Linked DNA regions of Diceros bicornis minor. The protein of the gene in region 1 purifies or fractionates together with the protein of each later gene. This does not show direct contact. Links are inferred from orthologs where the notes say so. Each region holds a gene or a part of one and is shown on either strand. Other genes may lie near its edges. The genes, in order: DNAJA1, tubulin alpha-1A chain and ENDOG.

Region 1 (4,136 bases):
TACTGGGAACAAAGTGAGACTAACTCTCTGACCCCAACACTGTACTCCTATGAAGAATATTTCCACAGCTCAGAAACCACACTTCTGTTAAATGTTAGGACACATACTCTGATACAAGAAAGCCAAAGCAAGATTCAAGGGACAGCGGGCTACTTGCTGGCAAAGAACCTGTGCTCCAACCCTGACTCAACTGCTGCCTTGCTACATCCAACCTGGAGGAAACTTTAGGTTTCTGAACTTTAACTCCCTCTTGTCAGTACCTCCCACTAGGTGGGTGGGGTCAAATAAGATTTGTAAAAATTTAAATTTTTTTTTAATTTTTAAATTTAAAAAAAAATTATGTGCCTATTCTTTGTTTCTGTAATTAATGCCGGATAACCTCACAGAAATCGTCTGTATCTGAGAGCTTTAGAAGCACTCACTTGTTAGCACTAGATTGGCTTAGCTATTTTTAGTTACATCAAATCTCATTTAAAAAAACTATACCGTAAATCAAAGTGGCAGTTTATGGTCACTTTGCAACACTATACCGACACATAAATAAGCATTTAAAATAAGTGAATTCTCAAGAATTTGCTCTGACCCAGGGCTTCTTTAATTTGCTGCAGGGGGACTAGGCTCTTCTTACCTCTCCTTTCTCTCTGCATCCTTCCTCCTCCTCCAAAAAACATATCAAAGATGTCCATGGGGGAGCCAAAACCGCCACCTGCGCCACCTTCTTTAATGGCTTGTTCTCCTCCTTTGTCATATAATTCCCTTTTCTTTGCATCAGACAGCACTTCATAAGCTTGAGATATCTGTTTAAACTGTTTGAGAAAAAAGGGAATAAATTTCACTAAAAAAAACACTACAAAGCAAAACCACTATATTAGACATAGTCAATTTCAGGTTGTAATAGAAATACCATACACCTGGCAAAGAACTATCCAGCTATGTTTAATATGAGCATGCTACTTGCCTTCTCGCCTTCGTTTGGATTTTTATCAGGGTGATACTTCAACGCCAGTTTTCTGTAAGCCTTTTTCAGTTCTTCCTGGGTAGCATTGGGTTTGACCCCCAAAACATCATAGTATGTGGTTTCTTTCACCATTTTCTACAGCATAAAACAAGAAAAGGCAATTTTAACCGACTTTCAACTGGTAGTTTTAATTAGTAAAATCAGAGTTAAGCAGAGAAATCTGTTCTTCGCCAAATCTGATTATAAGAGCACCGCCTTCCCTAAAGTTCACGGAGAAGGTAACGATCCCTTCGATAATTCAGCCCTGAGTTCTAACAGACTAAATATAAGCTAATAATTATCAGGGAATAATTCAAGAGCCTCCTTCTACAGCAGCTGGTTCCCCTCTCCCACATGAAAGCCTCCACACTAACGCGACTATTATCTGGACCCTTCCTGTTCGCCTCCCCAAGCAGTGAGCGGCAGCAGTAATCAAAAGGAGCACTAATAGGTTCAGTCCACTGGTTATTACATCATCTTCGTCTTCGGTAAATCTGATAAACCATACCCTCCAGAGAAGAAAAGACACCTGGGCACAAGGGGGCTGGGAGGGGTTTTGAAACTAATTAAGAACGCCGGCGCCAGAGAGCAGGCTCCCCTCCCCCTCAACCCCAAGGATGTTTCTCAATCACAGGACTTAGAGCTCCTCGGCTTCGCCCGCGGAACCCCCCTTGCCTCCACGAGCCGGCCCACTCTACACGTCGGCAGGTTTCCCCCTGCGCCGGGCGCCGACGGTGAAGGTTTCCTTTTCTCCCTCCCACCCGAGATCGAGCGGCGGGAGGCGAAGCCCAGGGCTCAACAAAGAGAAGGAGGGCAGAGCGGAGAAGCGAAACCTGCAGCCTCCGCCCGCTCCGCCCGCAGCCCCTCGCCCCTCGGCTCCTCTGCGCGTGCGCGGAGAGTCGCCCACCCCGGCGAGCGCGGGCAGAGGGTCGCTGGGGGGCGCGCGCGCGCGGGCAAGCCGCCGCCGGCGGGTCCGCGGGGACCTCAAGCTGGATGGGGAGCGGGGAAACTTCGGGAGAATCTCGGGGTCGCTCGCTGCGGGCCGGGGATGGGTGGCCGGGCACTACACCAGCCCTCCAAGGAGGAGATCGTGGGTCCGGGAACCGACAACCCTCCCGCCCACGCGGAGCCAACCGCCCCCGGCCGCGGCTCCCTCCGGCTCCCGGCGCCGCCATGGGGGCCAGGGGACGCGCGGGGGCCGACACTCACCGGTGAGCGGGCCGAGGCCGGCGCGGGGGAGCGGGAGGGAGCGCGTTGCTGTGCGCAGCTCGGGTCGCGGCTCCTCCGCCTCACACCGGGCGTTCTGGAAAGTTCCCCCGGCGCGCCGCAGCCGTCGTCTTTTGTAGCCGAGCTCGGTCGCGTCACCCACCGGAAGTCCCGCCCTTCCCGGCGCTCCCACCGCCCCGCGGTTGCCCGGCAACGGCGCGGGGGCGCTCGGGCCGGGAGGGGCTTGCCGAAGGGCCTTGTGGGGGTGGGCACTAGCCTGGGTTCCCGGCGCTCGTGGAACTTTCTGGAGCCCTTTTTTTCCGCCGGTCGGCCCTAGAGTGCGGAAGTGTCGGGCGGGAGCGGGGCCTGCCCCGGTGCTCTGCAGCTGGGTGCCCACACCGGCGAGGCGGCGGCCGGGGCCCGCGGGGACGGGGGGACGCGGGCACCGGCCCGGCGGGCGCTGGGTGCGGGGCGGGCATCTCGGGACAAAGCCCCTCCGCGCCTCTTCCCGCTGGCGCCTCGCTCGCCTCTTGGGGCCTCTCACCGGCGTGCTTCCTTAGCCCTGAGGTTCTGGGAACCCGCCGAGCAGGAAATGCTGAGCAAGAGGGTCCTGGGCCACAGAACAGTCCCGCAGGCCTTGGGTCTGGTTCGTTTTCACGCGCAGCCCGCGGCCTCGGAAGAGCTCTCTGTGCAAGTCCAGCCTCCGAGACACGTTGTCTGCCGCGGCCTCCTGGCTCCTGCACGCTGGGCTCAGGGCAGCGCTGAACGGGGAGACGTTGTCATGCTTTGGAGCAGACTGAGCGCCATGGACTGCTCTGGCTGGGCGTTCCCCGGTTTGGCGAGCCGGGGACACAGAGTGGCCACCAAGGGTAGCTAACAAATTGTTTCAATTACCTGACTTAACTTTTAAGCCCCCCCCCCCCCAGGTCTGTGAACCGTGATCTACGGTCTGCAAAGTGATTGTGGGCTTTCAAATGTTGGAACGGGGGTATAATGGAAAAGAGAGTCTGTCTTCCTCCCTGAACACCACCGCTAGGAGTATCTAGCACCAAGAAATCTGGAGATGCAAAATTGGAAAAGCCGGGTTCACATTGCTTAGATTTCAGTGGGGAACCAGACAAGTCAATGCACTATAAGGGCACCACAAGACAGGTTAGCCGGGGAGAGGCTCCTGTATTCATCTGATGGAACAGGGAAGGCTTCCTTGGGAAAGGGGCGGTTGAGCAGAGTTTTGAAGAAAGAAGAGCATTCCCAGCAAAAGACAAGTACAAAGGACGGCTGAGGTGTGAAAGAATATGTTTCCAGGAAATTGCAAGTAACTGGATATAGCCAGGGCTAAGGGAGCTGGAGTGGCAGGGAGTGTGGGTTCAGAGCTAGTTGGGGAACACCTCTTGGTATGTCTTGCTAAACAGTTTTTGAACTTTATCCTGGAGGCGTCCCCATGCGTATTCAGTCTTCTCTCTTTTATTTAAATGGTGCATGCAGGGGCCGGCCCGTGGCATAGCGGTTAAGTGCCCACGCTCCACTGCTGGCGGCGGGGGTTCAGATCCTGGGCACTTGCCCATGTGCCGCTTGTCAGGCTGTGCTGTGGCAGTGTCCTATATAAGATGCAGGAAGATGGGCACAGATGTTAGCCCAAGGCCGGTTTTCCTCAGCAAAAAAAAAGGAGGATTGGCATGGATGTTAGCTCAGGGCTGATCTTCCTCGCAAAAAAACAAAACAACAAAACAGGTGCATGCCAGTCACACCGAACTATCTGCAGTTTCCCAGAGGCACTTTTTCACCTCTCTGTGCTTTTGTTCTGGCTGACAAACACCTAATTTTTCCAATCTTAGATGTTACCTTCTCAAATACCACCTCTGGTATAAAGTTTTTCCTTTTCACTAGCAGTTACTAGAAGTCTAATGCTGCCAGGCAGGGTACTAGGGCTTGA
Region 2 (4,136 bases), on another chromosome or scaffold:
AAATAGTTCGTGTTTTAATTGAATTTTTTAAAAAACTATAAAAGAATAATTCCTCTCATTCATTATTACATTTCAATTCTGTGTTTGAAAAAAGGAGCCTACTTCAAATGTCTTCCTTAGGCTCATTATTTACTTTATTCTTGAGAATAAACGTACTAGTTTCCGAATTCGGTCCAAGACGAGGTCAATGATCTCCTTGCCAATGGTGTAGTGCCCACGGGCATAGTTATTGGCAGCATCTTCCTTGCCTGTGATGAGCTGCTCAGGGTGGAAGAGCTGGCGGTAGGTGCCAGTGCGAACCTCATCTGGAAAAGGAAGACAAAGCAGCCACCCATCACTAACCACCTGCACAAGCCTGCTCAACCCCAGGGCATCAGCGGAGCCCCCAGGACAGACCTCCTGTCCCAGACCCCTGGGATCTCACTCAGGTTAGTGTGGTCAACTCACCAATGACTGTGGGTTCCAGGTCTACAAACACTGCCCTGGGCACATGCTTGCCAGCACCCGTCTCACTGAAGAAGGTGTTGAAGGAGTCATCTCCTCCCCCAATGGTCTTGTCACTTGGCATCTGGCCATCGGGCTGGATGCCGTGTTCCAGGCAGTAGAGCTCCCAGCAGGCATTGCCGATCTGGACACCAGCCTGGCCAACGTGGATGGAGATGCACTCACGCTGTGGGAAGGAAAGAGAAAAATTGTAAAATTGGGTTGTGTTAGAATTTTGAATTTTCAGTAAATTTCTAAAAATATTTCTAGTAATATACAGGTATTCTTCAAATTTATTTGAGGTCATATCCCTAACACAATAGAAATGATTAAGGAGAAGCACCTGCTACAAATGCTGCAGATGGGTGTGATCTGAATAATGTTGCACTGTTTAGCACGTGGTACAAGTCCATTGTTCCCACAGCCATGCTTGACTAGAAGATTTTTTTCATATTTAAAATATTCGAAGCACAGATTTTGTAAAATGAAGTAAATTAAATTCGACCATTAATCAATTGGAATCAATATTACTACCTCCTTCCCCTTTAAATAAAGATGAGAGTTTCTTCTGAATATGACTTGGTATTTCAACATGGACATCTGTACTGCAGCTGATGTTAGAAGCCACACCCTTCTGCAGTCTATCTGCAGAATCCATCAGTACCAGCGGATTGGAAGCTAAACAAGGTCTGCCTCTGCATTGCTGCATTGCTGTATTTGCTGTGCCTGGTGCTAGCCTGTACTGTCTGCTACATTATTTAACAGAGCAAGCTCTATTTCCAGAAACTGCCTACATGATCTCATTCTGCTATTCTGCCAGTTTTCCTCCTCTGACCCAGGCTGGGACCATATGCCTAAATTGAAATGAATTAAGGAAGATGCACTAGAACAAAAAACAGCTGGACACAAAGTATAATTCTTCTTTGCGGCAATTTCATTACTTTAAAAAAAAGTTTTTCCAGAATCTTCTCCACTGCAAAAAACTGAAAATTAGTATCTTTAAAACAAGTTCCTAAATTAGAAACAAGTATCACATGAGAAGCTACCAAAGAATAAAAGCCCAGTGAAAGGATAATGGAATACTTATTTAAAATAACAAAATAGTATTTTCATTCTGAGATTCTCTTCCCACCACAGAATATTCATACTCATCACATTCAATAGAGATTTTCTTCTCTACAGTCTTTATGGCTACAACCTCCATTGTCTATCCATTGTCTGATATATTGGGGAGGGCGTTTCCCTGGGTCCTGAGCATTAGGGTACCCTACCTCACAAAGTGGGCTTTCTCCCTTGCTGGACGTGCGGCCAAGACAGACACACACACAGACTCGAGTCAGTCAGGGCGGGGCGGCCCCAGACCAGACTTTAAAGGGCTTGTCAAGTGAACTGTGATTTTGCTCCTCAAGAAAAAATATTTCCTCTAAGTTTTAACAAGGAATGATAAACCTTTTAACGCCTACAGTTCCACAACGATGAAAGGCTTTTATTAAAAGTCTTTTGACAGAGAAGGTTTAGCGAGGGCGAACCCCGCCCAGTGGCTCCAAGGCAGAAGCAGCCAGAAACAAACAACTCCGCCCCGGCGCCGCCCCGACGCCGGCAGCCAGCGGCTCCAACAAAAACTAACCATTTTGCCCGGTTAATATACGGGTATCTTTCTAAAATACCAACGAGTCGCGGAGGGACCTTTTTATACTAACCCAAGGCTCCGCTTTGTCCCTGTCCTTCTCTCCCCGCCACACCCACCGACCCCTGGTCTTTTTGGACGACGACTCCTCTCCCTGCCTCTGGGGAACAACGCGAGGAAGAAAAGAGACCCTCTGCGTCACACGAATACCGTACGCACATACACGGGAGCCGAGCAGGCGACGCCACGATCGCCATTCCCTGCCACAGACCCTTTCGTCACCGACAGAGGGGCTGCCTGCGGTACCGAAGGGCTCGGATAACAAAAACTCCCTGTGCGCCGCCTTTGTTCTTCCCCACGGGTCTCCTGCGCCCTGGGCGCAGTTCTGGCTGGGCTCCTGCACCCTGCACTGCGGCGGCCGCCGGGTTCAAGGATTTGGGGCAAAGCTAAACCTCGCTAACAAAGCATAAGCTACCGTTACTCAAAGGAGTTGTAAAGAAAAAAGGGCTTAAGATTTTCCAAGTAGATCCTGGGAGATTGACCCCACCCAACGGCCACAAAAAGCCGAGAAAAGAGATTCTTACCATGGTTGCTGCTTTGCGGCTGCTGAGCAGATGGCGAAGAGGAAGAGGAGAGGTTGTTGCTTCTTACAGCGCGACTCTTAGGCGGTCGATGTAAGAGAACCTGCGGCACATGGGTGGATGCGGCTCCCTATATACAACTCGGTCACCATGGGGATGGGCTGGGGCCTTTTCCTGTTGGTCCAGACCCCTCAATCTGCCCAGAGAAGCCACGACGGGAGAGAGGTGATTGGTGCAAGCGACATGGGATGAGGTAATCTCTCCCCCACCCCTTTTTCCCTAGCATCCATAGACTGTTTGCATCCTCCAGACAAAGAGACCGTGCAAAAACAGTCAGCCGAGCATCCATTATGGGGTGGGGTTGGGGAGGGGGGGAAAAGGAAAGAAAGAGAACTGGGGTTGGATGATTTTATATTGCTTAAACCTCAAACTCCAGTTAAAATCACCAGTGTAAGGTTTTTCCCATCACTGGATAGTAGAATTTGTGTTGAGATGAAATATTTAACGGAAAATTACTCCCAGCCCCTCCCTCAAAGTATACTAAACTCGACTACATTTGGTGAGGATTCAACATCTCTAGTTGCTTTAAAATAAAGTAGGAGAGAAGATGGGAATGATGCTTAAAATGGCTTGGGTAAATGTGATTTTTTTTTTTTAATTTAAAAACAGTTCAATAATAGAGCCGTACAAAATGGTTTCTCAAGTTCAAGTGATTTATTTTCAGACCTTCTTCTGCACCCCTCCCGCAAATGGCTAAACAAAAATGGAAGATGGAATGAATAACAGTACTAAATATGGAAGCACACAAGTAGTTTTAACATGGCAATAGTTAAGATCTAATGAACGTATCATAGTCTACTAGAAATATTCCTTTACCAGAAGTCTATGTAATATATTTTATGTAGTGTATTGTTCCTTAAAGTGAATCGTCTTTCCTGATATACAATTGAGAAAATACAGGGAGGAAGAATTGAGTTCAGAAGTTAGTGCTACCTGTGCAGTTATGCAGTTATATTCTGCATCATTCTCTTTTCTGGAAAGAGAAAAATAACTGAGACACCAAATTAAAAGGGAGGAGAGTTGTATAATGTAAAAAGAAGACCATTTTGTAATGTTGCCTCCTTCCACAGACAACTGTGTGATGTCAGCTCAATAACTGCATTTCTTTTTTATGTGGTGCTTGTGTGTATTTGGTAAATCTCCTCCTCTGAGATTGAGCTTCAAACTGGGAATTGTTGCCAGCCTCACATGGTTGCTATTCAACTAGAGACTCTGGTGGTTGCTCAACTGCCTCTTGGGTCAAAAAGGCTTTGCTTTCACCCCTAGGAAATGGATTGCAGTAACATTCTTTTGCTATTTAGAAAGGCTCCATTATCAACAAGGATGGGCTATACAGAATCAGACTCTGGACTGGGTACCACCTGACGTTGCTAATGAAATTTCAG
Region 3 (4,136 bases), on another chromosome or scaffold:
CAGGGTAGAGACTCACTTTCACCCTGTCTTCCTCATGCCCAGCACTGGGTGAAGCAGGGTGGCTGGGGGCAATAAATGCTGCTGAAGGAATCAGGCCTTCTCAAGATTCCCATTTGTCCCGCACACGTGACCACTGTGTCTCCCCGTGGAGGGTGAGCACCAGGGGGGCAAGGCTGGGACAGCTGAATTCCCAGCCCCAGCACAGGGGGCCTGATGCACAGTGGTGCCTGAACACTGGAGGGGGACTTCCGGGCTTCCCCCAGCAGAGTCTGCTCCATCTCAGCAGGCCATAGGAGGCACTTGCTAATTCAGGGTTATCAGTGCCCCAGCCACCGCCTCAGCCAGCCCATACTGAGCCCTTACTAGGGTGACATCCACCTTCCTACTCTGTCCCCTAATAGCTAGGAGGTAGGTAACTGGCATTTTCCCAATGTTAGAGGAGAGGACGTGAGGTCATTTGCGCACAGTACTGAGACTAGGCGACGGGGCCTGGGCTCCATCCCAGGCCTGTGGACTGGGAGCCAGCTGCTGTGCCACAACCCACTGCCTCCCTCATGCCCGTCTTCAGCGGGCCAGAAAAACCATTGAGCATGCCAGGGGGCGCTCAGTCCCTTCTACCGGCAGACAGGGCTGCAGAGGAACAAGCGTGAAGGCTCAGGGTCAGGAAGATGGAGTGGTGACCTGGTGGTGCTGGCACCAAGCCTGGGGTAAGCCTGGGCAGGGTGAGTGGCAGGAGGGGGCCTCTGGTGAGGGAGGCCCTATCGTCCCCAGGGCCCCCAGTTGTAGTCTTACCTGGGCAGGAAGAGCGGCCCCGTACAGACATAGACGTTTTGGTAGGCACGGGTCAGGCTTCGGCTGTACTTCTCCAGGTTGTTCCAGGCGTTCTGGTTGAGGTGGGGCACCTGGTGGGAGAAGTGGGGCTCAGGGCCTGTGGCTGGGACCTTTCCTCTCTGTCAGAGGGGCTGCCCCAGGCCCTGAGGGGCGGGCACTGGCACCAAGCCAGGAGATTGGTGGGGGGGGGGGGTAACAGAGGGAACAGGTTAAAGGAAAGGAGAGTCGCTCCAGGCCACCTGGCCATGAGGGTAGAGTCCAGATAGAGCTCAAGGGGGAGCTAGCTCACCCCCATCTAGCATGAGAGGACTAGCACCCCAGGTTTCAAAGCCATTTCTCAGGTCCATAGAGCCATACGAAGGAAAGGGACACATCTCCTTTCAAAGAGAGAAACTGAGGCCCGCCCCTGCCCCCAGGGGCTCATGGGAAGGCCAGCTCACCCAACCATCTGTCCTTTCCTTTTCCCAATCAACCGCGTGCAGAGCACAGCTGGGAACATAGTGAATCTGCTGGACTCCATCACTTGGGCTCTCCAGTCCTCAGTATGGTGTCGAGTTAAATGTGTGGGGGACTGTGCTGCTGGGAGCACAGAAGTCAGGTGCAGAGGCTCAGACCCCACGGGCTTCCCCCAGAGCCCCACATCAGTCTCCACCCACTGGGTGCCAGGCCCTGCTTCGAACAGGGCTAGAGGTAGGGTGGCTTGTCCAGGGGGCACAGTGACTGCTACTAACAGCCGACTGACTGCGTGCCAAGTAACTTTCCTTTTACTCCTGGAAGGCAGGCAGGCAGGGGAGGACAGTGGCTGAAAGTTCAGGGTCCCCTAGACAGACTCCCTGCGTCTCCTCTTGCTGTGTGACACTAGGCCAGTCACTCTGCCTGAGTCTCAGTTCTCTCATTATAGCTAACATTTATTGAATGCTTGCCATGGGCCAGGAAGTGTGCTCAGTACTTTTATATGCATTGTGTCTTCAGTTCCTCCGCGCTACTGCAGGAGATAGGTGAATAACAGTTTATCCCCATTTTACAGACAAGGAAACTGAGGCTTAGGGAGGCGCCCAGGGGCCCTGTGTTAAGGTCAGCCTGCAGAGCAGGTGCTCGCGCCCCAGCGCTCCGTCCCTCCCGCCTCGGGCGCGCGGGGTGATGACCGCGAGCGCGCACCAGGCAGCTTCCCCATCCTGCAGAGGGGCAAACCGAGACTCAGAGAGGGAGGCGCTGGCCCCGCTCTCCGCCGCCGGCCGGGGCGCGGCGCTACCTGTGGCGCGACATTGCTCAGGTAGAAGGTGTCGTCCATGGCCTTCTGGCTCCAGCAGTGGTTGGCGGCGGCGGCGAGGTGGCCGCGGTCGAAGCCGCTGCCGCGGTAGTCGGCGTTGGTGGCGCGGTGGTACGCGTGCACCGAGTCGTCCTCGCGGAAGTCGCACGAGCGGCGGTCGCCGTCGCCGCGGAGCCGCTCGGGCCGCAGCTGCTCGACCACCCAGAGCGCGCCGCGGGTGCGCGGGTCGTAGCACAGCACGTACGACTCGCGGCTCTTGAGCTGCGCCACCCCGGGCAGCCCGTACTTGGCCAGCTCGCCGGGGCCGCCGCCCGCCGGGCCCCCGGGCAGGGCGGGCAGGTCGGCCGCCGCCGCCACGGGGAGCACGGGCAGCCGGCCCAGCAGCCCCGGTGCCGCCCGCGCGTCCGCCCGCCGCCGCCGCCGCCAGCTCTCGGCGGCCGCGCCCAGCCCCGCGCCCAGCGCCAGGATCAGCCCGGCCCGCAGCGCCTGCATGGCCGGGGAGCAGGGCCGCAGCGCGGGTGGAGGGTGAGGCAGGGCGACCCGCGGCGCCGACCGAACGCCCCGACTTCGGGCGTCCGACCCGCGAGGCTCTTAAAGGGGCCGCGCCGGCCTGCAGGGCCCACAGCCGGGAAAGTGCCGGGTCGGGGCGTGGGAGGGTGGGATGTCCGTCCCCTCTACTAACTGACGCTCCGAAGTACTTGGGACTCCAACAGACGCCGTCGGGACCGGCTCGGAGTGGACGGCACGGCGCCCTTTCTTTGCCCTTTTAAGAAGCGGACCTGAGGGGGGGAGGGCAGGACACCGCCGTCTAGGCTCGTGATTGGCCACCGCCAGGCCCGGCTCCGCCCCGCCCCGCCCCCTCTCGGGTCTCCACCGAGGGCCCCTCCTCCTCCGCGCCTGTGCAAAGAGCTCTAACTTAAAGAGCGCCAAGGACACGTGAAGCACCGGTCTAAAGCGCTTCCATGACTACTTGATTTAATCCTCAAGAGGCCCGAGAGGGAGCTCCTCGATGGCAGAACAAGGACAAGACCCCAGGTCTGTCTGACGCGAGTCTATCCTCCTAACCATCACACCATAAGGCAACAATTCTAGGAGACTGGCAAAGATTTTAACACCCAGCGTGAGGGCAACGATGCAGGTGGCCGATGCTCACTGCTGGTTGGAACAGAAACTGATACCAGAAAGCAGCCTGGCAGTGTATATGAAAAGCCTTAAAAAGGCTCATACCTTTCATCCCACCTAGGGGACTGAGCTGGGGAAATAAACTGAGAATGCGAGGATTTCAAACACGAGTCTTCCCCACAGTATTACTTACGATAGAGGCTGGGAAATAAGCAAAATATTCAGAAATAGGGACTAGATCCAGACATTTTTAGCATATTAGATAGAACAGTATATAGCCCATAAAAGTATTTTAAAATCATGCAACAACTTGCTCATCACCAAATGTGATGGGGAGACAATACACAAAACTATATATATCAAGAAAATGACAATGATGTAATAAAAATTACATCTGCGAAGAAAAGACTAACATGTTCTCAGTGATTTTCTCCAGATTGTGGGATATGAGTGACTTGTTTTATTGACATGTCTTTGAATTTTCAATCTAAAATATAACTTGCTGTATAACCATGTATGCGATGCCTTCTTCCCCAGTCCACACTCCCTCCTCCTTCCAGGTGCAGACTGCAGTGGGTGAATGAGAAGAGCTGAACAGGCTCTTCCAACAAGAACTTCCTGGCCTTTTTCTTAGACCATCTAAGAGCCTCCTGACTCCATGCCTGCTCAAACTTTTTTCTCCCTGCTCTGAGGTTCAAAGGTTTCAGCCCATCACAGCACCAAAGCCCATTGCAAAGAACACATGATTTATTAAAGACAACTTGTCATCAACAGCATCGACTCAAGAACAAAACTGATGAACAAACAGAAGCAAACATTCTGACCCTCTGGAGTGAGACCTGCTGAATTCAGACAGCCCAATCTGTAAGTGTCCAAAGTCCTGCGGGCAGCTTTCCAAGAGGGAAGCCTCAGG

Evidence for each region.
Region 2: the proteins of DNAJA1 (region 1) and tubulin alpha-1A chain purify together in Homo sapiens (affinity purification with mass spectrometry; 3 studies listed by BioGRID and IntAct, with this or other methods). This does not show direct contact. The link is inferred for Diceros bicornis minor from reciprocal best matches to the Homo sapiens genes DNAJA1 and TUBA1A.
Region 3: the proteins of DNAJA1 (region 1) and ENDOG purify together in Homo sapiens (affinity purification with mass spectrometry; 3 studies listed by BioGRID and IntAct, counting the BioPlex papers as one, with this or other methods). This does not show direct contact. The link is inferred for Diceros bicornis minor from reciprocal best matches to the Homo sapiens genes DNAJA1 and ENDOG.

The regions. Positions count from the first base shown.
Region 1 is NC_080761.1:53,106,035-53,110,170, reverse strand, and holds the start of DNAJA1 (dnaJ homolog subfamily A member 1), read right to left. Parts: upstream 2,312-4,136; 5' UTR 2,207-2,311; intron 1,094-2,206; 5' UTR 1,091-1,093; coding exon 959-1,090; intron 807-958; coding exon 629-806; intron 1-628.
Region 2 is NC_080756.1:20,482,933-20,487,068, reverse strand, and holds the start of tubulin alpha-1A chain, read right to left. Parts: upstream 2,801-4,136; 5' UTR 2,698-2,800; coding exon 2,695-2,697; intron 671-2,694; coding exon 448-670; intron 306-447; coding exon 157-305; intron 1-156. UniProt on the Homo sapiens protein: Tubulin is the major constituent of microtubules, a cylinder consisting of laterally associated linear protofilaments composed of alpha- and beta-tubulin heterodimers.
Region 3 is NC_080767.1:36,566,444-36,570,579, reverse strand, and holds the start of ENDOG (endonuclease G, mitochondrial), read right to left. Parts: upstream 2,656-4,136; 5' UTR 2,594-2,655; coding exon 2,084-2,593; intron 903-2,083; coding exon 793-902; intron 1-792. UniProt on the Homo sapiens protein: Endonuclease that preferentially catalyzes the cleavage of double-stranded 5-hydroxymethylcytosine (5hmC)-modified DNA.